Linked DNA regions of Struthio camelus. The protein of the gene in region 3 binds, or shares a complex with, the protein of the main gene of each other region. Links are inferred from orthologs where the notes say so. Each region holds a gene or a part of one and is shown on either strand. Other genes may lie near its edges.

The links.
Region 1: CDK2AP1 (region 3) and CHD5 share a complex: the UniProt entries of both Homo sapiens proteins name them as parts of the nucleosome remodeling and deacetylase (NuRD) repressor complex. The link is inferred for Struthio camelus from reciprocal best matches to the Homo sapiens genes CDK2AP1 and CHD5.
Region 2: CDK2AP1 (region 3) and MTA2 share a complex: the UniProt entries of both Homo sapiens proteins name them as parts of the nucleosome remodeling and deacetylase (NuRD) repressor complex. The link is inferred for Struthio camelus from reciprocal best matches to the Homo sapiens genes CDK2AP1 and MTA2.
Region 4: CDK2AP1 (region 3) and MTA1 share a complex: the UniProt entries of both Homo sapiens proteins name them as parts of the nucleosome remodeling and deacetylase (NuRD) repressor complex. The link is inferred for Struthio camelus from reciprocal best matches to the Homo sapiens genes CDK2AP1 and MTA1.

Annotation. Positions count from the first base shown.
Region 1 is NC_090962.1:908,618-915,757, reverse strand, and holds the start of CHD5 (chromodomain-helicase-DNA-binding protein 5), read right to left. Parts: upstream 3,001-7,140; 5' UTR 2,936-3,000; coding exon 2,872-2,935; intron 1,081-2,871; coding exon 950-1,080; intron 1-949. Other genes in the region: RPL22 (large ribosomal subunit protein eL22), read right to left, coding at 3,223-3,367, 6,096-6,220. UniProt on the Homo sapiens protein: ATP-dependent chromatin-remodeling factor that binds DNA through histones and regulates gene transcription. May specifically recognize and bind trimethylated 'Lys-27' (H3K27me3) and non-methylated 'Lys-4' of histone H3.
Region 2 is NC_090976.1:523,875-530,780, forward strand, and holds the start of MTA2 (metastasis-associated protein MTA2), read left to right. Parts: upstream 1-3,899; 5' UTR 3,900-4,030; coding exon 4,031-4,058; intron 4,059-5,734; coding exon 5,735-5,802; intron 5,803-5,901; coding exon 5,902-5,995; intron 5,996-6,154; coding exon 6,155-6,272; intron 6,273-6,390; coding exon 6,391-6,454; intron 6,455-6,546; coding exon 6,547-6,664; intron 6,665-6,754; coding exon 6,755-6,857; intron 6,858-6,906. Other genes in the region: EML3 (echinoderm microtubule-associated protein-like 3), read left to right, coding at 62-160, 247-377, 2,866-3,045. UniProt on the Homo sapiens protein: May function as a transcriptional coregulator. Acts as a component of the histone deacetylase NuRD complex which participates in the remodeling of chromatin.
Region 3 is NC_090958.1:16,837,065-16,844,733, reverse strand, and holds the start of CDK2AP1 (cyclin-dependent kinase 2-associated protein 1), read right to left. Parts: upstream 3,014-7,669; 5' UTR 2,687-3,013; coding exon 2,620-2,686; intron 1-2,619. UniProt on the Homo sapiens protein: Inhibitor of cyclin-dependent kinase CDK2. Also acts as a component of the histone deacetylase NuRD complex which participates in the remodeling of chromatin.
Region 4 is NC_090949.1:9,500,668-9,508,446, forward strand, and holds the start of MTA1 (metastasis-associated protein MTA1), read left to right. Parts: upstream 1-4,769; 5' UTR 4,770-4,949; coding exon 4,950-4,977; intron 4,978-7,779. UniProt on the Homo sapiens protein: Transcriptional coregulator which can act as both a transcriptional corepressor and coactivator. Acts as a component of the histone deacetylase NuRD complex which participates in the remodeling of chromatin.

The DNA.
Region 1 (7,140 bases), on a different chromosome or scaffold from region 3:
TACCCATTTCCAGGGTGAGCTTCCTCACCCTTGACCAAGCTGGCTGGAAAGATGGGTTCAGATTAAGGCTGCCTAAGTGGAATGAAGGCTAAGCGCCGCTTTGATGTGTTGCACAGTGGAAATTTCCACACCGTTTGTTTCTTTTTTTGGGCAACGCATTTGACAAATTAAAAATCTCCACCATTTCAGAAACAAAAACGTAAAGCTAAAACAGGATCTTTCTGCTGTAATAGTTATTTGAAACAAAGAGCAAACAGCACACAAGAAATTGTGGATGCTACTTCTGCAGAATTAAAATCCTAAGCCACCCAGGTAGGATCAAGTGACAAGTATCTTTAGAAAAGGATTTGCAGGCACATCTTCCCAGTTTCCCCATATCACGTGAGAAGATCTCAGGGAGATAAAGAGAAAACAAGAGAGTTTTCAGCTCTTCCCATATAAGTTAAAGTGTCTTGATCCACACCTGACAGCCAGTTTCAGACAGTGCTATTCCAAGGTCAGAGACAACATCTTTTGGAGACAACATCTATCTCCTCAGACTGGCTGCATAGCTCATGCCTGAGAGCGCCTGCTTGTAACAGGGCATTAACATCCTCACACTTACATTATAGACTCTTCTCTCCACGCATGAGCCACTATCCTGTACGTACTGTGAGGAAAACAAAGCACAGAAGCGACAACAACAGAGCATCAGAATTGGGCAAGAGCTGCTCAAGCCCTGGCTCTCAACGTTCTGCCAGGGTCAGGGGAGTACCCAGACATCCAGAGAACGAGCTACGATGAGGTGTCTCACATCCACCTGTTGCATCCTTATAAACGCCTAGCCTTTTTCAGCCACAGACCTCTGCGCAATGCTTGCAAACAGCTACTATGGCTCTCCTGAGCAGTCTGCCCCTATGTCAAGCCTAACGGGAAACCCTCAGCCTCATTTTAGAGCATGCAGCATTACCTCTTTCTTCCTCCTCTTGATTTTGGAAGCCTTGCTGTCTTTCAGCTTCTTGGATTTCTTTTTTTTCTGCACAGCGACTTGTTCTTCTGGGTAAAACTCATCCAGTCCTTCCAGGACCCCATCATCTTCTTCTGAGGAGGAAAGGCACAACTTACTCAGATGGATTTCACACACACGCAGGCCAGAGCAAAAGGCAGTCTGTTCTTCTCCCCAGTGACCAGCCTCACAGAACCCCTCACGGTCTGGCTCGTGCTTTGAAGCCACGAGCCCACGCTTCTGAGGTGGGGGAACTTCCCTCTGCTGAGACAGGGGCATCAAGACGCCCTAATGTGCTGCCTGCTATTATTGATTTTGGTTGGTAGGTAATTAGGAAGCATTAGGCTTTTTATCTTTTAGATTTCCAAACAGAGCCCATTAAAACTGATTCAATTAAAGGCAAATGAGAGAGAGGTAGGCAGCCTCTCCGCCAGTGACCTCCTCCCTCCGTATACCATATGCAGAGCGAAGATGAAGCCTCGCATGGAAGAAGGGGCAACGCTGCGGTTCACTGGAGGTCTGCCGTGGCTCCATGCTCAGGGATCATGCACACTCAGCAGCTGGTGGCTCCCGCTGCTGGACTGCCGGGGACCCAGCTGCATGCCGCAGAGCGCAGCTAGTTCAGGGACCTGGCCCTGCACCTCATCTCTCTGCCGCTCCCTGCCAGCGCAGAGAAGCCAGGCTCACACTTTTCTTTTCCCGTCATCATCATCTCCCCAAATGCAATACCATGACTAATGAGTCCTGGTATTTCGCCAAATCATTGCATTTCCTTAAAATCTAGCTCAGTATTTGATTTTTTCATTTACTTTCAAAATCTCTAAACTTATATGGTAATAACAGTCCAGTCTCATAAGACCAGACAGACTTCTTTTTCATCCTCAAACGACAGCAGCGTAGGCTCCGCCAAGACAAGCACCTAAGCTCCATCTCAGCGGAGCGCGTTAGGAACGGAGGGAGCCCCGCAGCGCTAGGAGCACACCTTCGCCACCTCTCACGGGACCAGTCTCATCTGCCCTAAGCAGCACCAGAACAGAGTTCTCAGCCTATAGGTCACATGCAGAAGGATCTTTGAAAAGCTGCATTTTACCCACAACTGTCCTCAGAAAGACAAGAAAAATTGTCTTTTGGGGGAAAAGGGAGGGCCTTAAACCCCATGAAGAAGGATGCAGTGGCAATTCAGAGAAAGAATTTGCAAGCTTCCCACCTCTGACTTTGACTATTGAGACAATTTGTCAAAGCCAAAGGAAATGGCTCAAGCGAGTTCAAGTGCTCCTACCTGCTCCTCTCGCTAAAACACCCCCTTGCTGGAGGCCTCTTCATGGAACAGCAACGTAAACACAGGAGCAAGTTAAAGGTACTACAAATGCACTAATTAGGCACAACAGAAGTAGAGCCCAACAGAAACCAAGCGGAGCCAAGGAGGAGAAAAAGCTCTCTGCAGCGCAGACTTTGTACTTCCCTTTGGGTTTGCTTTATTTCCCTTAACCTAAAGAAACGATGGCATCCACTGGAAGGGCGTCTGGTAATCTGTGGGCAAAAATACGCCACTCGGCCAAACATTCAGTACCTCTGCCCGAAGAGCGATTACCACAGTCCATTTGCTGACAGTTAACCCTCCACGTAGAAACCGTCGGCAGCTGAAGCGAGAAACGGGGAGGAGAGGCAGCGACCGCGACGGCTTTCGCAGGCGCGCTATCCTCCGACGGCCGCAGACCGAGGGAAGCCGCCCACGCTCCCACCCCCCGGCCCCGAGCAGCCGCCGGCGCCCGGGCCGACGGCCTGAGCCTCCCGCAGAGGGGGCCGCGCCGGGGGCCCTCCACCCCCCGAGCCCCGGGGGGGACGGGCCCGCCTGCCCGCCCGCGCCGCCCCCCCCCCCCCCGTACCCGAGACGTCCTCCTCGTTGTCCAGGTCGCCCGGGAGCTCGTCGCCGGCCGCCGGCCCCCGCATGCCGGGCGGCGGGGAGCGCCGGCCCGGGCCCGCCGGGCTGCGGCAGCTCGGCACCAAGATGGCGCCCGCCCCGCCCCCCGCGCGCGCCCGCCCGCCCGCGGTGGGGGGGGGGTGTCGCGCGCGGCCGTGCGGCGCGGCGCGGTGTCGCGCGCGGCCGTGCGGCGCGGTGTCGCGCGCGGCCGTGCGGCGCGGCGCGGCGTCGCCAAAGACGGCCCGGTTAACAATTCCTCCCACATTTTATTCAGCGAAACGTATTGTACAAAATATGTCGAGGTCGGCGCGAGCGTCTAATCCTCCTCCTCCTCCTCCTCCTCGTCCTGGTTGATCTGGAAGTACCGCAGCTCGTAGCTCTCCTTGCTGTTGGCCACCACGCGCAGCCAGTCGCGCAGGTTGTTCTTCTTCAGGTACTTCTTGGTGAGGTACTTGAGGTACCTGCAAGAGGAGAGGGGCGCTCAGCCGCGCGGAGCTCGCCGCCCGCGCCCCGCCGCCCAGCCCCGCGGCCTCTCCCCGCTCCCGGCCCGGGAAGGGGCCGGCGATCCGGGTGGCACGAGCGCGCCTCGCTCGCCGAAGCGCAAAGGAAGCGCGTGGGTTCAAAGTGCTTCCACGTTTTCGTCTAGCAGCGCTTCATAAGCCCTTTCTGAAGACGCTCCTCTTCAGCTCCAGCTCGCACGGGAAGGGCACACAAGCCGAATCCCACGTGCACCGAGAACAATTCCCAACATCGGACACCACAGGCTAAACCGCGCAGGCCCCACCCAGGACAACTTCCTCCAACAGCGGAGCGACGCATCCCAGAGCGGCGTCGGCCAGGAGACGCTGGTGCTCGGGAACAGCACTGTCAGCTACACGTTGCCCCTTGCCGGAGGTACCACCAGCACCCGAGACCCAAGGCTAGGGAGCTGCGTTCCCTCTTCACCCTCCGAGGCCAAGCTTGCTACTATGCAAACAGAGCGAGGCACCAACTGCGTTTCCACAGCACCAAATAAGCCCCAGGTCAACGCGGCGCTAACACCGCCAGGATAGTATAGTAGCTGGCCATCTTTCACCTCCTTGCGCGCTTTCCACAGCACTGCCCGGAGCGTGCCAGATCCCACACCGATGCAAAGAGAACCGCTCGGGCCAAAGCGCTTACGCTTCCCAAGCGTGGCAATCGGAGGCTGCGGGATTGCAAGCAAGCAAACCCAGCTGGTGCCAATGTGTGCCGTTTACACTTTCCATCATTTTACATCTCCAGCTGCCATGCTTGCAGTCGCCACTGCTGAAAAGTAATCTGGAGAAAGTGTATATCAATATATTTATGCAATCTATGTAAGACAGCAAGTTACAGACTTTCAAGTGTAGTTTGCAATCCCAGAACTGAGGCGGGGGGATAATTTGAGAGTGCTCAAACCTCTTGCCCACAGAAGGTGGGCCAAATTCTGTTGAATGTTTGGCCAAAACATTTAGGTTTTGGTATAGTTCACAAGTATTCAGAGTTCTCTTAACCTAACCTTTCTTTTTAGAAAGATTGCAGACAGCTGACTGGGAAAACAGGAACATGCAGAACAAACTTATCTTTCCCTACTTTAGTAGGGCCGATATTAGCAACTGATTCCCAACACACAGCGGTCGTTACTCGATTATGATTCAAACCTAAAACCTCAAACTTTGGCACGTGAAGACTAAACTACTAGCGGGTACATAAGTCCCAGCAACAACAAAAGCTGAAGAAAAGCATCAGTTCATTAAGAAATGGCAGACGCACATCTCTTAATTCCTTAAAAACTCCAAGACACATATCCTCTGACATGAGCCGGAACAGAAGTCCGCATCTAAGAGTGCCAAGCAGCTGCAGTGGAGGATAATGCTGCGAACACAGTCAAGTCACTGAACCCAGCAGACCAGGTTAAACAGAATAACTACTGAATGCCAAAATGGTCAGGCTGCTTTTTAAGCATGATTTTTAAGGGAAATATATTGCAAGCTAGAGTCAGGATTTTTTTTTTTTTTTAAACTAAAAACATGACGTGGCTTTGCCAATTCATTTTGGCTGCATGATTTATGTAGCAATGCCCAATAGACTTTTTTATTCATAATACTGATCGAAGACATCATTGTAAAACCCACCTTTAGCCTCACTTAATACACATAAATCAAAACCAAAAAATGCTTGATTTGATAAAAAACAGATAACCTGCATTTACTCTCCAGAGGAGCTAGCTGTGATTTAGATTTGGAGATGTAAACAATTTTACAGGAAAGTAATCTACAGCATAAAACTGAATTCATCAAAGCCAAATCAAGGGCAGAGATATTAGGCAAACATAAGAACTGGGCAAATGGCAGAAGTCCAGCAGGATAAAGGTAACACTACAGTAGTGGAAGAGTTTGGCTGTTTATCAGTCTCTAAAATTCCACATTTGGCATCTTTGCAGGAGGGGTAGATCCTCCACTGCTTTTCAACTCAGCTTGCCTTCCAAGAAAGATTTTCAACCACGTACCCTTCTTAAAGATCACTTAGAAACAAATAGTCACCATGTCCCATTTCTCAAGCAGTATACTTTGAAGTCAGCAGGACTTGGTACAACTTATGTGCCAAGACATCTTTTCATTAGCTCCAGTGTTTCCCCATGCATTAGGATTTTACGGAAGAGCTTCCTGTCTTGTGGCCCTGGGAACTAGTATTGAAAGATGCTGTCTTAGAAGCTTATTCTTACCAAGCACCACAACTTGGAGAAAATGAACTACCTTCTAGCAACGCGTGTCATCAAAAAGCAGGCGGGGGAGCACTCGTGTAGCTAGCTTCACCGGCTATCATAAACAGCGGCCCAGAAGTCTTTGTATCCAAAGAAAAGACCAGATAAACAGCAGACATCCCAGCGCACCTTTCACAACACCCTCCTAACAGCCAGAGCCAAGTCTGACATCAAGGGCACCGTTTTAACACCACAGATCCGTTGCTGAGACTGCAAGAACAGGGCTACCTGATGTCAGCAGCCACTACTGCCATGAGGGGCAACATCCTGAGCAGCTGCCTGCAACTTCACACAAACACTGAAGCATGCCACGTGACGGTGATTCACCCCGCTGCTAGCGGAGGACTGCAGCAGCGCTCCAGAGAAACAGGCTGCGCTGCCAGCCTGCCCTGTCCGAATCGCCTGCGGGTGCCCCGTGTCCTTACCTCTTTGAAAACGGAACCTCTGAAGTAACAGTGATCTTGCTCTTGCTCCTCTCGATGGTCACCACACCCCCACCCAAGTTACCAGCTTTGCCATTAACCTTGATTCTTTCCTGCAAGAACTGCTCCTGCAAGGGAAGAGTGCGACTGGTTAGCCAGGGCTGACAGCTCCAAAGGACCGAGGGGTTTTGCAGCTCGTTTGCACTGACCATTTTGACTTTTCGGTTAGAAGTAGGAAAGAGAGATAGTCACACAGCAATGACAAGCAGAGGAAAGCAGGTAGGTAGGTTTTGATCCCACAAATACGTTGCATGACTACTCCTGCTGGCTCAAACTGGCCCATTCAGACCTGCACATAAGTGACTTTCCCAACTGTGAAAGAACTAAGTTGTTTTCTTATGTCACTAATATTTTCTGCTTTTTGAGATGACAGTCAAAATACAGGTTATTTTGTGATTCTCAGAAAAGTGTTACCCCGAACCTTTTGTTTCAAACCTATTCTCCTTGTATACAAACACAGCTTCATAAGATATCTGTCAGAGAGAATTATGGAACTTATTGCTGTCCTCACATGCTGTTTCTTAAAGCTTAAAAGAAAACTAGCTGTCTAAGTTATAAATACTAGATATTGTTCAGCAGGTAAAGAAAATTAACTAACTACAAATTGTTTACAAAATAATAATACTCTTATTTACATAACTATGCCGTTTGCTAAACAGCCTATTTAGATGTTGCAATGAGATATGAATAGTACTTGGAACAGCTGTCTCTTAAAGAAAATGCACGTGTGGAATAAGAGACAAGTTTACTTTCCAAGCAACATTTCTGCTTGTCAACTTAAATCTATCAATCCAAGGACAGGCTTTCCTTTTACACAAAGGAATAAAGTTCAGATCAGACACAGAGGCACTTTCTAACCAGAGTTAGGATCTATCTCAGTTCCTTCTCCCCTCCTCCCCGTAACACGCATGCGCAGGTAAGTTCTTGTAACCTTGAGTTGAGGGCTGCAGCAAAAGGGTAGCCTTTTTTTCTTTTGATCATGACAAAG
Region 2 (6,906 bases), on a different chromosome or scaffold from region 3:
GCTCGGGGTGGGGTGGGGGGGACGCTCCGCCGGCGCCTCCCTCCGCCCCCCCGGCCCGCAGGGGACGTGGCCGGCGGCTGCAAGCTGCTGCGCAACCGCTTCGAGAGCCGCGACCGCGAGTGGGCCACCTACACCTGCGTGCTGGGCTTCCACGTCTTCGGTAGGGCCCCCGCGCGTGCACGCGTGTGCGTGTGCCCCCCCCCCGCCCCCCCGGCCCCCCGGCCGCGCTCACGGCGCCCCGCGCAGGCGTCTGGCCCGACGGCTCCGACGGCACCGACATCAACTCGCTGTGCCGCTCGCACGACGAGCGCGTGGTGGCCGTGGCCGACGACTTCTGCAAGGTTCATCTCTTCCAGTACCCCTGCGCCCGGCCCAAGGTCAGCCCGGGGCGCCCGTGGGCCGGGCACACGCGTGTGCGGGCGGTGGGGGGCATGCACACGCGTGTGCGGGTGGGGGGGTGCACGCACATGTGTGTGCGGGGAGGGAGGTGCATGCACACGCGTGTGCAGGGAGGGGGGGTGCATACACATGTGTGCGGGGAGGGAGGGTGCACGCACACGCGTGTGCAGGGAGGGAGGTGCATGCACACGCGTGTGCGGGGAGGGGGGTGCACGCACACGCGTGTGCGGGGAGGGAGGTGCATGCACACGCGTGTGCGGGGAGGGGGGTGCACGCACATGTGTGCGGGCAGGGAGGGTGCACGCACACGTGTGTGCAGGCAGGGGAGTGCACGCACACGCGTGTGTGGGGAGGGGGGTGCATGCACACGTGTGTGTGCAGAGGGGGGGTGCACGCACACACGTGTGCGGGGAGGGGGGTGCACGCAGACGTGTGCGGGGAGGGAAGTGCATGCACACGCGTGTGCGGGGAGGGGGGTGCATGCACACGTGTGGGGGCAGGGAGGGTGCACGCACATGTGTGCGGGCAGGGAGGGTGCACGCACACGCGTGTGTGGGGAGGGGGGTGCACGCACACACGTGTGCAGGGGGAGGGTGCATGCACACGTGTGTGTGCAGAGGGGGGTGCATGCACACGCGTGTGCGGGGAGGGGGGTGCACGCACACGCGTGTGCAGGGTGGGGGTGCACGCACACGCGTGTGCGGGGGGGGTGCATGCACACGTGTGCGGGGAGGGGGGTGCACACACACGCGTGTGGGCGGTGCATGCACGCGCACGGGCACAGGTTTGCGGGGGGGAGGCGGCGGGAGCACGTTTGCAAAGGGAGCGCGCGCACACGCGTGTGCAAAGGGAGGGCATGGTTGTGCGCACGGGGAGAGTGTGTGTGTGTGCATGTGTGCAGGCATGTGTGCACAGGGAGGACACGCGTGCGTGTGCGCACGGGGAGAGCGTGTGTGCACAGAGAGGACACGCGTGTGCATGTGCACAAAGAGAGCACGCATGCACGAGAAAGATGTGTGCGTGTGTGCGCGTGGGGAGGACACGTGTGCGCGTCTGCACGAGGAGACCATGCATGCGTGTGCAGAAAGGACGTGTGCGTGTGCACGAGGAGACCATGCATGCGTGTGTGCGCAGAAAGGACACACGTGTGCATGTGCATGGGCAGAGCCTGCATGCGTGTGTGTGTGTGTGTGTGTGTGCATGTGTGTGTGCAGGAAGGACACGCGTGTGCACGTGCACGACCAGAGCATGCACGTGTGCGTGTGTGTAGGAGGGACACGCGTGTGCACAAGCAGAGCATGCATGCACGTGTGTGTGTGTGTGCAGGAAGGACACGTGCACGCGCGTGTGTGTGTATTAAGGACATGTGTGTGCGTGTGCACGAGGAGAGCCTGCATGCACGTGTGTGCATATGCAGGAAGGACATGCGTGTGCGTGTGCATGAGCAGAGCATGCACGTGTGCGTGTGCAGGAAGGACACGTGTGTGCCTGTGTGTGCAGGAAGGACACACATGCGCGTGTGTGTGTGTGTGCAGGAAGGACAGGTGTGTGCGTGTGCAGGGGCACAGCACGCACGTGTGCGTGTGTGCAGCAAGGACACACGTGTGTGTGCGTGCGTGCAGGAAGGACACGCGTGTGCGCGTGCGTACAGGAAGGACGCGCGTGGGCGTGTGCACGAGCACAGCATGCACGTGTGCGTGTGTGCAGCAAGGACACACGTGTGCGTGTGTGTGCAGTAAGGACGCGCGTGTGTGTGTGTGTGCAGGAAGGACACACGTGTGCATGTGTGTGTGCAGCAAGGACACACACATGCGTGTGTGCGTGCAGGAAGGACACGCGTGGGCGTGTGCATGCAGGAAGGACACGTGTGTGTGTGCGTGCAGGAAGGACACGTGTGTGTGTGTGCACAAGCACAGCATGCACGTGTGCGTGTGTGCAGCAAGGACACGTGTGTGTGTGTGTGTGTGTGTGTGTGTGTGTGTGTGCAGTAAGGACACGCGTGTGCGTGCATGAAGGACGCGCGTGGGCGTGCAGGAAAGACGCGCGTGGGCGCGTGCGTGCAGGAAGGACACGCGTGTGCGTGCAGGAAGGACGCGCGTGGGCGTGTGCACGAGCACAGCATGCACGTGTGTGTGTGTGCAGGAAGGACACGCGTGTGCGTGCAGGAAGGACACGCGTGGGCGTGTGCACGAGCACATCATGCACGTGTGCGTGTGTGCAGCAAGGACACGCGTGTGCGCGTGCGTGCAGGAAGGACGCGCGTGGGCGTGCAGGAAGGACGCGCGTGGGCGCGTGCAGGCGCAGAGCGGGCGGCGCGTGCCGGCCGCGGGGCGAGCAGGCTCGTGCGCATGCGCGCGGGCGGGCGGGCGGGCGGGGGGGGGCGGAGGCAGGGAGGGCGGCGCGCGGGCGTGGCCTCGCCGCCCCGCCCCCCGGCCCATCCGCCGGTGCCGACGGCCGTGCGCGCAGGCGCCGAGTCACGTGTACGGCGGGCACGGGAGCCACGTGACCAACGTGCGGTTCAGCCACGACGACGCGCACCTGGTGTCGCTGGGCGGCAAAGACACCAGCGTCTTCCAGTGGCGGGTGCTGGGCGGGCCGCGCCGCCGCTCCCTGCCCGGCCCCGCCGACGGCCCCGAGCCCGCCTAGCGCCCGCCCCAATAAAAACCCGGCGGCACCGCCACCCTCCGGCTCCTCCCTCCTTCGCCGCCGCCGTTCCCGAGCCGCTTCCGCAGCGGCCCCAGGGGACTCCCGAAAGAGCCGGGGGGGGGGTCGGGAAAGAGCCGAGGGGGGGTCGGGAATAGCCGAGGGGGGGTCGGGAAAGAGCCGGGGGGGCTCCGGAAAGAGCCGAAGGGGCTCCGGAAAGAGCCGAGCGGGGCCCGGAAAGAGCCGAGGGGCCCCGGAAAGAGCCGAGGGGCCCCGGAAAGAGCCGAGGGGGCTCCGGAAAGAGCCGAGGGGGCTCCGGAAAGAGCCGAGGGGGCCCCGGGAAGAGCCGAGCGGGGCCCGGAAAGAGCCGAGGGGGCTCCGGAAAGAGCCGAGGGGGCTCCGGAAAGAGCCGAGGGGCCCCGGAAAGAGCCGAGGGGGCTCCGGAAAGAGCCGAGCGGGGCCCGGAAAGAGCCGAGCGGGGCCCGGAAAGAGCCGAAGGGGCCCGGAAAGAGCCGAAGGGGGCTCCGGGAAGAGCCGAGGGGGCCCGGGAAGAGCCGAGGGGGCCCGGAAAGAGCCGAGGGGGCTCCGGAAAGAGCCAAGGGGGCTCCGGAAAGAGCCGAGCGGGGCCCGGAAAGAGCCGAGGGGGCCCCGGAAAGAGCCGAGCGTCTCCGGAAAGAGCCGAGCGCGGCCCGGAGAGAGCCGAGGGGGCCCGGAAAGAGCCGAGCGGGGCCCGGAAAGAGCCGAGGGGGCCCCGGAAAGAGCCGAGCGTCTCCGGAAAGAGCCGAGCGCGGCCCGGAGAGAGCCGAGGCGGCTGCGGAAGGGCCCGAGGCCGCGCCGAGCCCGCGGCCGCGCCGAGCCCCCTCCCGAGCTGCCCGAGCGGGTCGCGCCGGTGCGGAGGCGACGGGAGGCGGCGGCGGCGGGAGGCGGCGGGAGGCGATGAAGCGCGGCCCGGGTCGGGCCCGGGGGTAGCGCGGCCGAGCGAGCGGCCATGGCGGCCAACATGTACCGCGTCGGCGGTGAGCGAGGGGCCGGCGGCGGCGGGAGGGCGGGGAGGGATCGGGGGGGGGTCTGTGAGGGGGACGAAGGGGGATCTGGGGGGGTCTGTGAGGGCGGGGGGGGATCGGGGGGTGTCTGTGAGGGGGGGAAGGGGGATCTGGGGGGGTCTGTGAGGGGGGAAGGGGGATCTGGGGGGGTCTGTGAGGGGGAGAAGGGGGATCCGGGGGGGTCTGTGAGGGGGGGGGTCTGTGAGGGGGGAAGGGGGATCGGGGGGGTCTGTGAGGGGGACGAAGGGGGATCCGGGGGGGGTCTGTGAGGGCGGGGGGGGATCGGGGGGGGTCTGTGAGGGGGACGAAGGGGGATCTGGGGGGGTCTGTGAGGGGGAGAAGGGGGATCCGGGGGGTCTGTGAGGGGGAGAAGGGGGATCCGGGGGGGTCTGTGGGGGGGGGGTGTCTGTGAGGGGGGAAGGGGGATCTGGGGGGGTCTGTGAAGGGGAGAAGGGGGATCTGGGGGGGTCTGTGGGGGGAGGGTCTGTGAGGGGGAGAAGGGGGATCCGGGGGGGTCTGTGGGGGGGGTCTGTGAGGGGGGAAAGGGGGATCCAGGGGGGGGATTTGTGAGGGGGGATCTGTGAGGGGGGGAAGGGGGATTGGGGGGGGTCTGTGAGGGGGACGAAGGGGGATCCGAGGGGGGTCTGTGAGGGGGAGAAGGGGGAGCCGGGGGGGTCTGTGGGGGGGGGGTCTGTGAGGGGGGAAGGGGGATCCGGGGGGTCTGTGAGGGGGAGAAGGGGGATCCGGGGGGGTCTGTGAGGGGGGGGGTCTGTGAGGGGGGAAGGGGGATCGGGGGGGTCTGTGAGGGGGACGAAGGGGGATCCGGGGGGGGTCTGTGAGGGGGAGAAGGGGGATCCGGGGGGGTCTGTGGGGGGGGGGTCTGTGAGGGGGGAAGGGGGATCCGGGGGGTCTGTGAGGGGGACGAAGGGGGATCCGGGGGGGGTCTGTGGGGGGGGTCTGTGAGAGGGGAAAGGGGGATCCAGGGGGGGGATTTGTGAGGGGGGATCTGTGAGGGGGGGAAGGGGGATCGGGGGGGTCTGTGAGGGGGACGAAGGGGGATCCGGGGGGGGTCTGTGGGGGGGGATTTGTGAGGGGGGGAAGGGGGATCGGGGGGGAATCCGGAGGGGAGAAGAAGGAATCCGGGGGGGGGGATCCGTGAGGGGAGGAAGGGGGATCCCCCCATTTTGGGGATCCGTTGTAGGGGGGAAAGGGGGGATCCCCCCATTTTGGGGCCCCCTTAACTGTTAGAGGAGGGAAGGGGGATCCGTTGTGGGGGGGGAGGGGGAATCTGAGGGGGGAGGAAGGGGGATCCTTGGGGGGGGGATCCCCCCATTTTGGGGCGCCCTTAGCTGTTAGAGGAGCACAACCGCGACATAAAGGAGAGGGGCTGGCGGGGGGGGCCGCGAAGGGGGCAGAGGAGCCCCCTCCCCATCAATGTGTGTGTGTGTGGGGGGGTCCGTTCCCCCCCCCCAACAGCCGGACGGAGCCCCCCGCGCGCAGCAGGGGCGTTGGCGGGGGGCGCGAGCCCCCCCCACCCCCGGGTTTCGGAGGCATCCTGCGGGGCGGGGGCTGCGCTGGGACACCCCCCCCGCCCCAGCGAGCCCCCCCGCCCCAGCGAGCCCCCCGCCCTGAGCCTCTTCTCCCCGCAGACTACGTCTATTTTGAGAACTCCTCCAGCAACCCCTACCTGGTGCGGCGCATCGAGGAGCTCAACAAGGTGAGGGGCCGCCCGGCTTCCCCCCCGCCCTGGGGGGTGAAATGAAGTGTGGGGGGGGGGGGTCCCGCCTGCCTCCCGCTCAGCGCCCCCTCCCCGCAGACCGCCAATGGCAACGTGGAGGCCAAGGTGGTTTGTCTCTTCCGCCGGCGGGACATTTCCAGCAGCCTGAACAGCCTGGCCGACAGCAACGCGCGTGAGTGCGGGGCGCCGGGGGTCCCCCCCTCCAACCCAAGCGGGGGCAGCCCCTTCCCCGACGGCGGTGGGGTTGTGGGGGGGGGGCGGAAGGTGTTTTTTTGGGTGGTGGTGGGGGGGGGAAGGCGTCTTTGGGGGCTGACGCCGGCGCTGCGCCCAGGCGAGTTCGAGGAGGAGTCCAAGCAGCCGGCCATGACGGAGCAGCAGCGGCACCAGCTCAAGCACCGCGAGCTCTTCCTCTCCCGGCAGTTCGAGTCGCTGCCGGCCACTCACATCCGGTGCGTGCGGCGGCGGGGGGGGGGGACAAGGAGGGAGGGGACAACAGCGGGGGGGGACAGCGGGGCGCCCCCCCCCTCCCCGGCGGCGGGGCCGTGAGCCCGGCCTGTGCGCCCGCAGGGGGAAGTGCAGCGTGACGCTCCTCAACGAGACCGACATCCTGGGCCAGTACTTGGAGAAGGAGGTGAGGCCTTGCCGTTTTGGGGTGGGGGTGGGGGGCCCAGCCCACTGCGTGCCCCCCTCACCTTCCTCCCTCCCTCTTCTTCCTCTTCCCAGGACTGTTTCTTCTACTCGCTGGTGTTCGACCCCGTCCAGAAAACCCTCCTGGCCGACCAGGGCGAGATCCGGGTCGGCTGCAAGTACCAAGCGGAGATCCCCGACCGGCTGGCGGAGGGTGAGGCGGCGGCGGGGGGCCGGGAGGGGTGGAGGAAGGCGGTGGGGGGGGGGTCTGCGCTCCCCCACCCACCCCGTCCCCGTCCCCCAGGCGAATCGGACAACCGGAACCAGCAGAAGATGGAGATGAAAGTGTGGGACCCCGACAACCCGCTGACCGACCGGCAGATCGACCAGTTCCTGGTGGTGGCGCGGTGAGCCGGCGGGTGACAGTGGTGGCGGGCGACGGCGGCGGTGGCGGGC
Region 3 (7,669 bases):
CACTCTCAGCCTAAACTTGAAAGGAGTTAGCTCTGCAGCAAGGACACAGCTTGCTTCAGGAGCGGAGCTGCCACACTGCCTTTCCAAATTCTCCTGCACCAGAAGCCCTGCAGTGCAGAGAAGCAGCATTATCTCCCAGAGGAAAATCCCTGTGAGATCCACAGCTGGCCAGAGCCCTTCTGTCAGCTGAGACCAAAATATTCAGCATTCACACAGAGAGGCTTCTGCAGGGCTGATCTCAGGCCAAAAAGGACAGATTTCCTGTTTTCCTCTCCTCTGCAGGACGGGGGGGTGGGGGTGGGGTTCCTTCACCCCAGGTTTGGAAGCAAACCTCGGATTTTTCCTCTTGGCCAGTGGCATTTAATTTAGACACAATAGAGAAGCAACCTCCTTCAACTCAGAATTAAGCTCCAGCGAGGAGGGGGCCATTTGCAGTCATATCACTCTGAATGCGATATGTGCAACTGCAAGGACTGCTTTGTCTAACTCCCTTGGCCTTAGGCCACGGTGCTGGCAATACCACTAGCTAGAGGAAGAGCTGGTGCGTGAGGATAATGGCAGAAGACAGGGAGGGAAGAGAGAGCCCATTTTGGATTCTGAGGAGGACGGTTTTTCATTGAAAAGATCCTAGGGGTGTTGAGGGTGATCTAAACTCAGGAGAGAGCACAAGTTAGACAGTCCCAGCATGACAGCAAACTGCTGCTGTCTTGCCATTAAGGGGAAGAAAAACAAAATGTTAAAAAAATAATAATAATAATAATAAAGGAAAGATGAAAACTGCATGAAAGAATCTAAAACCCCGATCGCAGCCGGAGCATTAGAAAGCACAGAGACACGGCAGCAGGAGGACCGGAGGCAGAAGTTCACCCCTCGGCTGCTTTGTGAGCGGCATTCGACCGGGATCCTGCAGTCTTCCCGCTCGGCGTGGCCACACTTGGACCCCCCCCAGTACCACCTAATCCCCACCCCGCCACGCACCACTACAAAATACTACCTTTGTTTCCCCTGCAATTTTACAGCTGTTCCAGAAAGCAAGGCACAGGTTCTCATGGGAGAAACATTTCCCCTGCGGTGCTTCATGCATTGGGGCTTTTTTTTTTTTTGGGGGGGGGGGTGACACTTCTGCTTTTTTGTCACAAATCCTAGCACATCTCCTGCTTCCTGGCCCCCCTGGGAAGCGGCACTTAGGCTCAGGGAGCTCCCTGCACACGCCAAGTTTCCCCACGCGCAGCCCCACCAGGCTCAGCTCCCCGCAGGATCGAAGCTGCCCTGCACGTAGGAGTTGGAGGTGCAGGGACCTCAGCTCCATCACCGGCTGGTGCCAATTCCTTACAGTAAAATGCAATCGCCGCTCTCCCGGTAGTGAGAATAGAGGTGCATCTCCTTAATCCCCTTCGTCTATCCATATCCCAGGAACACAACCGCAAACAGTGCTGTAAAATCCCCGAGGCAAATTTCCCTCTCCCTCCTGAACCAAACAGCAAAACTTTCCCTTCTCAAAACATCAGTCGTATTTCTGCCTGCAGAGCGGCCGGTGCCAGCCCTGCAGGCTGGAGCTGTGGGAAAGGGAGACGGGAATATGGTTTCTTTTTTCTTGTCTTTCTTTTTAAGTCAGAACCAACTTCTCCATTTTGGTTCTGTTTCAATACTAGCCGGGGTGCACTGATTAGTGAGTTCCCCTCCAAATACCCCAGAGCGGAGCAATCGCCGCTGTGGCTTTGTTTGGACTTCACCAATGTATACGCGCGATGTATATGCACCCCGACACCCAGACCCACTCTCACAGCCAACACCTCACCCTGAGCACAACCCCTCACTGCCTGTTACCGCTGGAAATGAAATAAATCAAGGGGGGGGGGGGGTAAAAGCAAAACAAAACAAAAAAAGTTAATCCCATCAAGGAAAACTTTTTTAGAGAGGAAAGTTGGGACTTCTCTACAGATCCAATGAGGAAGAAAAAAAATAATAAGAGGGGTTTGGGAAGAAATAAAGAGCGATTCCTGCCTCCCCCTCTCCCCCAAAAAAAGAAAGAAAAGGCTCCAGGCGAGCGGGGCGGGTCGGAGAGACGGCGCGGGGGCACGGCGAGGGGGGCCGGGGCCGGGGCGCCCCTGGGCCGGCGGCCGCCGCTGCCCCTGAGGAGAGCGGGGCCGGCGGGGCGCGGGAGGCGCGGCGCGGAGCGGCGCGAGCGGCACTTGCGGCGTCCCGCCAGCAGCGGTCCTCGCTGAGGCGCCGGCGGAATATTCCTGATCCAGATCAATCAGCCGCCCCGGGGAGCCGAGCATGGAGGAAAGCCGGCGGCCGGAGCCCCGGAGCGGCGGCGGTAGCGGCGGCGGTGCGGAGCCGGCCCGGCGGGCGCGGCGCCCCCGCGGAGGGGCGGCGCGGCCAGGCGAGGCGAGGCGAGGCGGGCTGGCGGCGGCGGCGGCGGCGCCGCCGGGCGGGCGGGCGGGCGCTGGTAATGGCGGCGCGGAGCCGGCGCGGAGCCGCTGCCCCGCCATAGCGGGCTGGACAAAAAACTCGAGCGCGGGGCCGGCCCCGGCTGCCGGCGCGGCGCGGCGCGGCACGGCGGAGCCCCGCCGCACGCCTCCCAAACTTGCCGCCCAGTTGCCGCCGCGGACTTACCCGGGGTGAGGGGAGTCCCGGGGAGGTGGGCGTTCAAGTTGGGTTTGTAAGACATTCCCAGCGACATGGCCAGCGGCAGGAGGAGAAAAACGTCCTGAAATCCAGCGAAGCGTCTCGGCGTCTCCCAGACACTTTGGGTTGTTTACAGCAGTAGCAGCACCGGCAAATATGGCCGTCAGTTATATTGACACCCACAATGCAATATATCATCCATACATCATGAGGAGACGCGGATCCAAAAACTTTAGGGGAGACGAGGCAGCCGGCGGCGGCGCGGCGCCCCGCGCCCCTCGGCGCGGCGGCGGGGGCGCGGAGGCGGCGGCGGGAGCGGCGGCGGCGGGGGGTGCCGCGGCGGCGGGGGGTGCCGCGACCATCCCCTCACAGACAATGGCGCGAGCTCCCCTCAGGGACGGCGCGGCGCGAGGGGCCGCGCGGGCGCCGAGGCGGGAACGGAGGCGGCGGCGCGGGGCGGGCGGTGAGGTGGTGGCGGGGCGAGGGGGGGTGGGGGGAGATGGGTGTCGGTTGAGGCGGGGGGAGAGGTTAATTCACTTCGCAAAGTTTTGGCTCAACTTCTCGTGGAAATGGGATCGCCCGGCGGCGGCGGGCGCCCCTGTCCGCGGCGAAGAGGCTCCGCGCCGCCGAGGCGCCCCTTCCTCCCCCCCCCCCCCAAAAAAAACCCGTAATTACCTATTCACCTCCGATTTATTCCCCTCGCCGCCAATTTGGATGGGAAATACCTGTTGATTGTACCCTCCCCCCCCGCTCCCTCAGATCTTCAGTGGAAATTTTCTGGTGCCGCGAAGGAAAAAAAACAATTTTTTTTTTTTAATTATTATTAGTAAAACTACTCTTTCGGCTCGCTGGAAGGCTGAAGGTTTAATAGCAGATTGCAGCCATGGAGGGATTTAACAAATAAATGCAAATCTAGTCCATGACTGACCCGTTTTCTGCTTGCGAACAGCAGTGGGATGTACCCCCTCTCTTCACCCCCCCCCAAATAAACAAATTATTTCTCGGTTTTATCCGCCTCTCCGAAGTTTATCCTTTCGGGGTGGGACGCTCGGGTGCGCTCATCCCCTACGCGAATCCAAATGCGCCTCTGCAATTGCCGCGTTTCTCCGGATTTACGCCGGCGTAGCCGCTCCGGGCCGGCAGCGCGGCCCGAGCCCCCCCAGCCCGCCCGCGCTTCGCCAGGAAATCCCGCTGGAATCGGGGCAGTTTGGGGTACTTCAGTCACAGGCGTTGCTGTTATACGCCCGTGCCGTGCGGTATCGCCGTTAGCTGGCGCCTGCGACCCCGAGCGCAGGCGGCTCCATCCTGCTCCCTGGAAGCGGCCGCGCTAATTCAGGCCTGCAGCATCCGCCGCGTTGGGCTGCTTTGTGAAGGGACGCGGGCGGCGTTTCTGCGGCAGAGACCGGCCGGGGGGGAGGCGAGTCGCGGAGCGGCTGGGTGATTCCCTCCGCCGAGCCGAGACGCAGCGGGAAGAGCGAGCCGGCTTTCGAGCCTCCGACCCTAACACCTGCACACCGCATCAAAGAAGTGTCTAGAAACCATGCCCCGTACCGGGTAAAACACGCGACCGCGTTACGGTTTTGCACGTTATCTCCGTTCCCAGCGCTCGTGGTGAAGCCCGGACGGCGTACACCGCCCTTGGCGCAACCGAGCGGCGCTGCAGCCTGCCGGCGCGGACGCCCCGGCGCCTCCGGCGTGGAGTCACCTGCTCCATAACGGTATTTTCACACCAGTGCACGAAGCTTTACCGGCGTAATTCTCGTGAGCGTCCTGAAAGATCGCACTGCTAAACCCTGGCGCTCTGCAAATACCGAACCGTGCCCCCCGCTAACTTTTGGGTGGGACGTGTAACTGGCTGCCTTTGTGCGGCCGCCGGCCGGCCGGCGCAGTCCTGCAGGCGCGGGGGCACGCCGCGCTGGGATTTTCCATTGCTCCGCCGTTGTTTACAGTAACACCGAGACAGTGCGAAATGGGAGGGTTCAGAGCTGGCCGTGTTTTTCACGGCTTTGCACCAACCCTACAAAACTGCACTCAGAGCAGCGCTGCGGAGAACAAGATCCCCTGTGTTTCGCTTCGGTTTTATAATGACGGCTTAAAAACACGCAGTATTCCTTCAGTGGTATCTCGAGGTGGGCGGCTTAAGGGACCGATCCTGTAAGGCCATCCCTTCTTCTGCACGAGCTGCTGCAGACGCTTCCCGCTCCGGAGCAAACTGACTTAGCACGCGGCAGGGAAGTTTGCAGGGCCAAATTATTTGTGCTGAAAGCGGGAACTCCGCAATACCCAGATTTTTACGTCAGCGGCAATGCATGACACCAGACCCGGGTAAAACCTGGCTTTTTGGCGTCTGAAGCAAGCTCCAGCGGGCTTGACTAGCTGCGTCTCACTGTCTTTGCAGAAGTTGCCTCGGGCAGGAGGTACCTGCGAGCTGTCCCTCTCCGTCGGGCGCTCCGTGCATCCGCTTCGGTTGTTTCGACCCGGCTGTGGCCACAGCGGTAAAACCCCCGGGGCGCTTGGGCCCGGGGCTGACGGTTTAGCAAGGCGACCGTGGCCCGGAGCTGCCTCGGAGGGGCTGCCCGGCGCGTGCTGCCCCGAGCGCCCAAGCCCTGCGGCGGGGCGAAACCGCGGTCCGGCAGCGCTGCTGCTCCGCGCTGCCGCCTGACGGCACAACCCCATCTACTGATGGTCATAGCAGCCCGCGGTCACGAGCGACCCCGGCGTCCTGCGGCAGAGCCATTTTACCACAGCTGTCCCGTTTCCAAGCCTCCTCTCCAGTGAGAAGCAACTTGGAAATAAATGCGTGCGCGTTACGGTTTTCAGCGAGGGAGGAAAGGCAGCGAGAGGAGCCTGTCTCTCTCCGGCATCCACAGGTGCCTCCGGGCACGGCCACAAAACCTCCTGTATTTTGCAGGTGCTGCTGCCTCTCCGGCGTGTCGGACCTGCAGCCTCCCCCCTTTCCCCCCTTGTTTTTCTTTGCATTCCCCACGTTCCCGCTGCTGGTTTCACTTTCTCACCTCTGATGCCCCAAAACGCTTGGAGACCTGCACTCGGGGAGTGCAAACTCGTCGTCTTCCTTCTCGTCTGGGATTAAATTAACGATGAAAAGCATGAAAGACGGGACAGCAAGACACCGGCTTCCCCTGGCATGGCTTTGACCTGTGCAAAACGTTACGTTTGTGTGTTAATTTCAATGTAATTAACTGTTGACAAGTTTAATAAATGAAGTGACTTGTGGCTGTCCTGGCCGTCCTCCGCCTGTCGCAGAGACACGTGCAGCAGCGAGAGGAGGGAGACCGGCAGTACGTCCCTTTCGCGGGAAGGAGTTTACGTTTAAATCAGTTTGTATTAAAATATTTATTCCCAAGTTTCCCGGGAGGCAGAATCATAAACACAGTAGAGGTACCTGCAAGTTTCTGGGTATCAACTCAATCCGCAAGTCCCTGAGCCGCCCTCTCGTGCCAAAACTGAAACGATCGTCCAAAACGAAGCCAGGAGGCTCTGACCCTCGCGGGCTGAAAAAGCAGCTCCTAAAGGCTTGAGCAGGGGGCAGGTTTGGCCTCTGTCAAGACACAGACGGTAGCTCCGCGCCTGCTCCCCGCAGCCCGGCGAGGCTGCGGAGCTCATCCGGTCGCTGGGGCTTCCCGCGGCGCTGCCGTTCTCCTTCCAGAGGGAAAGCTGGCAGCCCCGGTGTCCCGCTGCTGCTCCATCCGCTTTCCGGGTGACGCTTGCTGCTTACTGCCCCAGAACGCGCCAGAAACCCCCAACCGCCAGCAGACACGCTGCGTCCTCATGGCTCCCTGGCGCCTTTTCTCCCCAGCCCTCCAAATACGCCGGGAAGGCCTGGATCGCTCCCTGCAGCGGGAAGGAGCCCCGGGGAGCACCCCCGGCAGCAACCCCGCAGCAGCCGCCCTGCGCCGGGGCTGGGGGAAACCTCTCCTCGCAGCCGGCCCGCTCGAGGAGCGTTGCTGCAGTTCAGCGTATAACTTCTTTCGGGTGTAACAACTCCTGGCTGCTCCAGGCAGGCTTTCCCCTTAACCTCTTCCAGATAAATTTTGCCTAGCCCGGTCCCACTCCCCAATTTCGCTGGGTTCCTCCCAGGCCAGATGCTGTGTTATTATGGGGAGCGCCTTTCACCCCCCCCCTCCAGCCTTGTTTTCTTCCTCCTCCTCCTCCTCCTCCTCCAGAGCCTGTTGTGCTCCTGCCAGGGAAGGGCCCCGCCGGGCCGGCGGCTGCTCGGCGTCGCCGCGCCGGTGCTGCCCGCTGGCTCCTTCCCGGCTCCGTCCGCCTTGGCGCGGGACGTGCTGCCTCGGCGGTGGCCTGTACGGGAAGGGGAAGAAAAAACCCAGCATCTTTAAAGGTGAGTGAGGAGACTGGGACCGGTCAAGGCAGAGAGCTGAACGCCGCCCTCGCTTCAGCCCTGCGGCAGCGGCAGCCGCTCTCGCCTGCCCCGGCGGGAGGTCTCGCTGGAGGACCGCAGGCGGCAAGCGGGAAGTTTCCAAGCCCTCGGCCACCAAAGCCCAGGTCTGGAAACTCCCTCCGGAGAGTTTTTCCTCTTTGCGCTTTGCCAAACGAGCACCGGGATCAAAACCAGCCAGATGCCAACGAAAACCAGCCCGGACAGGTAGCGGCCTCGTTCTGCGTGTTGAGAAGAGGCGGATAAAGCTACTGAGCCTCCTCCCAGGCCTCCCCGAACCCTCGCTCCCGAGGCGCCCATCCCTTCGGTTTTCCGGGCAGGCCTCTCCCCGCTCGCCGCCGGGGCTGGGCTCCCGTCGTCCTCCCGCTGCCGCGTCCCGCCCGGCGGTGCCAAGGAGGGCGGCCCAGCCCCAGCGCGGGCGCCCGGGGCGGGTGATGCGCCGGGAGCCGGCGGTTCTCCGAGGAGGCTCGCAGCCGCGCTTTCATCCCGGCCCCGCGTGGGCGAGCTCCTCAACCTGTTCGGTGGCCGAGAGCGGAGCGATCGCAGCCGAGCCCGGGGCCGGCGTGCCTGCCGTGTGCTCGCCGCCGGGGCGCTGCCGCCAGCCAGCCGGCTGCCCTTGCCGGG
Region 4 (7,779 bases), on a different chromosome or scaffold from region 3:
GGCTCTGAGACGCGTTTTCGGGGTTGTCTCCAGACTGAGGCTGCGGTAGCCTGCAGCTGGGTGGGGGAGAGGAGAGGCCGGGGCCCCCGGGGCCTGCTCCTTGGAGGGGGCCCAGTGCGTCGGGGCGTGCGGGGCAGAGCATGCCCAGGCCCTGCTGGGGAGGGAAGAAGGAGAGTCGAGCAGCCAGCTTGGGGCAGAAAGGTGCAAAGAGGGGAGCCAAAAGCAGCTGTTTTGGGGAAAGGGGCCCATGGCTGCAGCCCCCAAGGCCCTGCCTCGGGTGCCTGCTGCTGCGCCCTCTGCCAGGCGAGGGAGGAGGCCAGCCAGGGCGGCTGGCGATGGAGCAGGGGGCTTCAGGGAGGGTTCTGGCAGGGGCCAGGCTGCTCCCGAGGCAGCTCTTGATGGATGCCTCAGCTTCTCCGTACTGGCTGGCTGGCTAGCCAAATTTGCCTCTGTGGCTTGCAGCCATCCTGCATCCCTTCCTTTGCTGGGGGAGGGGACACAAGAGTCTCCCAGCAGCGTCCCAGTGGTCGTTTGCCCAAACGGCACCGAGCAGGGATGGGGTGGCCCCAGGCAGGTACATAGCCAGGGAAAGGACAAATCTGGGACTCGCCGGTACACAGGCAGCAACGCAAGCCATCAGGAGGGCCCGAGCGCTGGCCAGAGAGGGGGAGCACCGTAGGGCAGCTGGGGGAGAGGCAAGTGGTCCAGGCTGTATTTTGGCTATGTATTTTTTGCACAGGTTCAGCTGTAAACCTGCAGCAAGGGCCCAGCCACGCGGAGGAGGCTCAGCCTGACCTCTCTCTGGCAGGCTGGGCCCACCTCGTCGTGCCCGGCTCCCGCAGCTCGCTGCACGGCGGCCTGCAAGGCGTTGGCACGTCCCAGCCACTGCCTCTGAGCTTGAACTGGCAGATATTTCCCTTTCCCTCTCCACTTGAGTTTTCTCTCTTCCCCGTCAATCCTCCCTGCTTACACCCAGTTGGGACAGCCTGTGTCCCGGCGGTTCGGGGCAGGAGAGGGTTGTGACGGCAGCAGGCAATGCGTTTCTAGAAATAGCCTGTGTTAGTGCCAGCGTGGCTGGTTGTAGGGTGGCGGGTAAGGAAGGGGGGAGGCGGCGGTGATTCAGCTTTGCCAGTGCAGCTGGAGCTGTGTCCAGTTTCCGATTGTGCATCCTGGTGAAGGAGCTATAGCTCTGCGCGCTACAGCAAGGGGTACCGGCACCGCTCTGGGGGCACAGCCGCCCTCCCAACCGCAGAAGGAAAACTCCCCCTCTGGAGGTGGGGGAAAGCAGACCTCTATCCTAGGCAAACCTGCAGCGTGGCTGAAATGCAAATGTTTCCCAAGGCCGCTGTGGAAGTGGTTTAAGGAAGACGCAGCATGTGGCCAGGAAGGCAAGCTGAAGCTTTCCAAGCGGGAAAGTCACGCTAGGGTAGCCATGGACGGCTGTAATGTAGCGCTGCTCAGCTGTGCCAGACTTCGATGCAGTGGGGGACAACGAGCTTTCCCTTCCAGGGACAGGAGAGCGTCGTGAGTCCAACCAACCCGGACAAACACATTTGAAGGAGCAGGATGGATTTTGGCCACCTAAACCTATGGAAGTCCAAAGGGATCCCACAAAAATGTCGGTGTGCCACGCAAGCAGCAGCGCAGAGCCAGGTGCGTGGTGGCCCACCTGCCTCGACGTTGGCCTCGTTGCCCTCTCTTCCAAAGGGCTGACCTTTCAGTCCCTGTCCCTTGTCACTGAGGTGCTCGGGGGGGGACGGGGGACAGAAAGCTCAGCAGGAAAATTCCAGCTGCTACCGTGCCCTGGAGAGCTGTCCTGGGGCAGGGAGCAGCAGGGGGGTAGCAGCAGAGAGGGGTGGCGAGCAGAGCAGGGGCAGAGAGGTTGGTTTGGGATGAGGGTGCATCAGGGGACCGCCTAGTCCATTGGTCTAGACCAATGCACCTAGAAAGTTCTCCTCATGCCCACGCGTGCTGGGGAGAGCTGATTTCTGTGGGGCCATCTTGGACAGGCTGGCATCTTCTGCAGGTCTCGGCTTTTCTTGGTGGCTGTGCCCTCTCCGGGCTGGGCCGACAGGGATCCAGTGCAAGAGCTTCCCTGTCACAACAGACAGAAAACCTTCTCGAAGGACCAAGCTTGCTACAGGAGGAGCGCTGGTGGCACGTACCGGACTGGGATTTTGGTGGCGGGAGACAGGGCGTTGCAAAACCCAATGCCTTTCCAGGCTGTGGCTGCTGGAGCCACGTCCCCTCCTTTCCAATTGCATAACATCCCAGTGGCGACCACAGCTATTGCTCAACGTGGAAGAGTAACAGCAGGGAAGTTCTGACATGTTTTTGTTGCTATCGTTTAAAAAACAATTTAGTGTCTGGAAAGAGCAGTCAACACCACGTGAGCGGCCACTTCTTCGTGTGCAACTACCAAGTGCCCCATGATGCGATTTGTAAATATTTATTCTGGATAATTTTTCTGTGTCCTACTGAATTATTTTCCGCTCTGCAGAGTGGTTGCAGAAACAGCCTGGGGAGGACCAGGCCTCGCGCCTGGCGTGCGGGCAGACGTGTCCCGCGGGTACCGTAGTGTCCCCAGAGGCCAAGTCGCTCATGCTCGGCTCTGCTGGGGAGCTCGGGAAAGGCAGGAACACGGCGCGGGCACGGGCGGCCCCCGGCGTGCTGGACTAACCCTTAGCTGACCGGTTTCAGCCCCAGAAACGCTCTCCTCGCTCAGCAGCGCTCCTTGCCTGTGTGGGAAATATGAAAGCAGAACAAATCCGAATGGCCCTACTGCGGTCACTGGGGTTTTTTTTTTAACATATAAAAAAGAATTTAAGCCAACAAATCATTCTCTCTTAAATACACGTATTTTGGCAGGTGTGACAACTTTGGGCAGTCTTATGGGACTCCTTGAGGATGTCACGACAACCGGGGTTGAGAGCGCGGGTGGTTGGCCCTGCTCAGCCCTGGTGAAACGTGCGGCTTTGGCTAACTGCTTCTTCCGCGGCTGCGGAGAGTTTTATTACACGTATTTTTTGGCTGATGAATAATTTCCCCAGCAGCAGGCCGAGGTGCCACCGCGAGAGGTGTGGGACGCGGGGCGCCCCCAGCCAGGCAGTCGGGGTACCGGTTACGGGGTGTTCCCAAACGCGTGGTGCATCAAGGTGTGCAGCTGCATGGGGTGTCAAGAACAGGGGTACAGGTGGGGGGACGTGGTGTGTGTGAGGAGGGGTTGTGCAGTGATGCCCCCTGGGAGGGGCCACACTGCCTGTGCCAGGGCAGCTGTGTGTGCGGGTGTGAGGAGGGCTGTGTGTGTGAGCACAGGCAGCGCACGTGGAGAAGGGCTGTGTGTGTGGGAGGGCTGTGTGTGAGGAGGGCTGTGAGGAGAGGTGTGTTTGAGTACAGGAGGGGTGTGTGTGTGTCAGGAGAGCTGGCTGCTGTACAGGCAGTTGTGTGAGGGTACAGGTGGGCTGTGTGTACAGAGGGCTGTGAGGACAGGTGGAGTGTGAGGGCACAGGCAGGGTGTGTGCACAGAGGGCTGTGAGGACAGATGGAGTGTGAGGGTACAGGCAGGCTGTGTGCACAGAGGGCTGTGAGGACAGGCAGGGTGCGAGGGTACAGGCAGTGTGTGTGCACAGAGGGCTGTGAGGACAGGCGGAGTGTGAGGGTACAGGCAGGCTGTGTGCACAGAGGGCTGTGAGGACAGGCGGAGTGTGAGGGTACAGGCTGGGTGTGTGCACAGAGGGCTGTGAGGACAGGCGGAGTGTGAGGGTACAGGCAGGCTGTGTGCACAGAGGGCTGTGAGGACAGGCGGAGCGTGAGGGTACAGGCAGTGTGTGTGTGCAGAGGGCTGTGAGGACAGGCGGAGTGTGAGGGTACAGGCAGGGTGTGTGCGGAGTGCTGAGGACAGGCGGAGTGTGAGGGTACAGGCCGGATGTGTGCGCAGAGGGCTGTGAGGACAGGCGGAGTGTGAGGGCACAGGCAGGGTGTGTGCACAGAGGGCTGTGAGGACAGGCGGAGTGCGAGGGTACAGGCAGGGTGTGTGCGGAGTGCTGAGGACAGGCGGAGTGTGAGGGTACAGGCCGGATGTGTGCGCAGGGGGCTGTGAGGACAGGCGGAGTGTGAGGGTACAGGCAGGGTGTGTGCAGAGGGCTGTGAGGACAGGCGGAGTGTGAGGGCACAGGCAGGGTGTGTGCACAGAGGGCTGTGAGGACAGGCGGAGTGCGAGGGTACAGGCAGGGTGTGTGCGGAGTGCTGAGGACAGGCGGAGTGTGAGGGTACAGGCAGGGTGTGTGCACAGAGGGCTGTGAGGACAGGCAGAGCGTGAGGGTACAGGCAGGGTGTGTGCACAGAGGGCTGTGAGGACAGGCGGAGTGTGAGGGTACAGGCAGGGTGTGTGCACAGAGGGCTGTGAGGACAGGCGGAGTGTGAGGGTACAGGCCGGGTGTGTGCGCAGGGGGCTGTGAGGACAGGCGGCGTGCCTGAGTACAGGAAGCAGAGGGCTGTGAGGCCAGGCGGTGCGTGGGCACAGGCGGTGCGCGGGGGCCGGTGCCAGGGGCTGCGGGCAGGCCCCGCCGCAGGCCCCGCCGCCCGGAGGAGGCCGGCCCGGGCTCTGGTGGTGCCGCCGCCGCCGGCGGGCGGGCGGGCGCGGCGCTCGCCGCCGTCACATGGTGCGGGCTGGGCGGCGGGGCCCGCTCCTTCCCCCCCCGCCCGCCGCCGCCGCCGCCGCCGCCCCGGCCCTCGCCGTGCCCGCGCCGCCGCCGCCCCGCCCTCCGCCGCCCGCCCGCTCGCCCTCCCCTCGGCGGCCGGGCGGCAGCCGGCGCGGCCCCTTTAATTCCCTCGCTCCCCCTCCCCCGCCCGGCCGCTCCAGCCTCCATTTTCCAGCGGATCCGGCACCTGGAGGCGGCGGCGGCGGCGACGGGAGCGGCCCGCGTCCCGCACCCGGCCCCGTCCCGGGCATGGCCGCCAACATGTACCGGGTCGGAGGTAAGCGCCCCGCCGGGCCCCGGCCCCGCGCGGCCGCGCCTCCCCGCGTGCCAGCGGCGCGTCAGGGGCCGCGGCGGCGGGGCAGGCCCGGCCCGGCGGGCGTGGGGCGCGCTGGGGGCGCGGGGCGCCGTGGGGCGGGTGCGGGGGGTGGGCTGTGGGGCCCGCTGGGGTGGGCAGGAGTGCGGGGTGCGTGTGGGGTGGAGGGCAACGTGGGGTATGGGGTGGTCTTGGGGCGGGGTGTGGGGTGGGTTGGGGTGGGGGGGAGCCTGGAGATAGGGTAGGTGGTGGTCTTGGGGTGGGGGGAGCGTGGGGACGGGGTGTGGGGTGGGGGGGAGCCTGGAGATAGGGTAGGTGGTGGTCTTGGGGTGGGGGGAGCGTGGGGACGGGGTGTGGGGTGGGGGGGAGCCTGGAGATAGGGTAGGTGGTGGTCTTGGGGTGGGGGGAGCGTGGGGACGGGGTGTGGGGTGGGGGGGAGCCTGGAGATAGGGTAGGTGGTGGTCTTGGGGTGGGGTGGGGGGCAGCTTTGGAAGGAGTTGCATGGGGAGGGAGGCTGTTGAGGCACGAGGCAGGGACCTTCTCGGTGGGGTGGGGGCGCGAGGTAGGTTTGGGGTGTGGGTTTTGGGGCTGGAGCAGGCTGGGGAGAGGTTAGGTGGGTGGGAAGGCTGGTGCCTGTGGGGTGTGGGTGGCTCTGGGGTGGGGAGAGGCTGAGGAGGAGGCAGGTGGGCGCAGGGCTGCTGGAAGAGGATGTGTGGGGCGAGGGTGGATTTGGGTTGGAGGCTGGGGGTTTGGGAAGGGGACAGGACTGGGGTGCTGGGAGGGGGGGATCGGGTCCGCGGGGTGTGGGTGTGTGGGACGCACACAAGGAGCGCTGTAAGGAAGAGGGCTATGGAGGGTGAGGGGGTTTTAGGTGGGAGTAAGTGGGGCAAAGGGCTGTTGTGGGGGCGGTTTGGGGAGGCTTTGTGTGGGCAATGGGGCTTGGAGTTCCTGTGTGAGGTGGGGGCGGATACGACATGGTGTGTTTGGCATTGTGCAAGGTACAGGGTGTGGGGCAGAGGTGAGGAGCCATCTTGGGAGGGTTGGGGATGGAGAAGAGCCCTGCCGAGCTTTATGAGGCTGAGGAAAGTAGGGGCCTGCTCTGTGTATGAGCTGTGCGGGGGGGAGTCGGGGGGCTTGGAGAGAGAGGAGTAGAGGGCAGATCTGGGATGAGGGCATGGGCAGGAGGGGTGGATTTCTGGAGCAACCTATGAGAGCAAGACCAGAGACCATGGGGAAACAGAGTTAGGGTTGGGGTGGAACGAAGGGTCGGATGACTGTTTAGACAAGGGTTATGTGAGGTTGTAAGGGTGGGGACGTACAGGGAGTTGCTGGGATAAGAGCAAGCCTAACGATAGGCTGAGACTACTGGTAGACTAGGGCAGTTGCATGAAGCAAGTCCTGCTGATCTTGGCCTTCCCTTCCATTCATGCTGTTTTATTGTATGCTTTCCCATTAGTCTTCTGTTCAGAGCCTTGCGCTCCTGTCTGATTGTCCTTTGTTTAAACTCACGTGAAGAGAAAGGAGAGGCAACAGGGTTTGGGATTGAATTTTATGGAATATAAACACTGAGGGTGGTCTGGCATGAATTTGTGTTCAGCCATTTTCCTTCATAAAAGCTGTTCTGTGGAACTTCCTTGTTCCTTGAACCATAGGATCTAAGGGAAGATATTTTGGTGGGGGGGGGTCCCTCCTTTCAAAGTACTCCATTCTTTTGGAGTTCTGTAAAAGCAGGGTAAAGTAAACAAGGGGAAAATATAGTGAAGGTGGCCAAGCCATCCTGTCTGGCTACTCTCCATCAACAACTACTTTCAATTCTTTCCACTTTTCTGGCCTACCCTTACTTTGTACTCTGAAAAATGTCACGTTTGTTGTCACATTTATACTTTTTTGCTGGTTGCACTTGGTGTCGTGAAGGGATAAGATGTGCATCTTAGCTGTCCCAGCTTTGTTTCTTGGGTTGCTACAAGTTGGTTGTGTGTGTGTGTATAGCATTATGTGGGGTTAGAAATGCTGAGAAGTAGAAAGATGAAGGGCAAAATGTGCTGTAGGAGTTTACAGTTCAGTTCCTGGTGTGACTTGCAAAGGGAATTGTTTCCTGGGAATTGTTGTTTGGTATTTAAGGTTACAGGCATTAGTCTTGCACTGAATGTGATCTCTAGTATTTTGTGTGTCAAAACCTGGACTGTGCTCCCCATAAAATCATGTAGGTGGGAAGAGACCTCTAGAAATCTCTAGTCCAACCACCTACTAAAAGCCATCCAGTTAGAGCAGGATGCTTGGGGCTGTGTTCAGTTGAGTTCTGAACGAAGGATGGTGATGCCTCTTCTTCTCTGGGCCCTCTTCCAGTGTTTGACCACCTTCCTGGCAACTTGTTTTCCTTATGTCTGGTTGGAATTTCTCATGTTCTGACATGTGTTCATTGCCCCTTGTCCCCGGGAACCTCTGAGAAGAGCCTGCCCCTGTCTGCTGGTTGTAGACAGCAATAGCATCTGCCCCGAGCCTTTTCTCCCCCAGGCTGAACAAACCTGTCTCTATTGGCCTGTCTTTGTACATCCTGTGCTTCAGCCCCAACCACCTTGGTAGCTCCACTGGACTTGCTCCAGTATGTCACTGTCCTTGTCTTGGGGAGCCCAAACTGGATGAGCGCTCTAGATGGTCTCAAGCGCTGAGCAGGAGGGATAGGATCTCTCCCCTCGCCCTGCTGCTTGTGCTCTTGTTAACCCAGCCCAAAATGCCACCAGCTTTGCTGCAATGGTACAGTGCTGT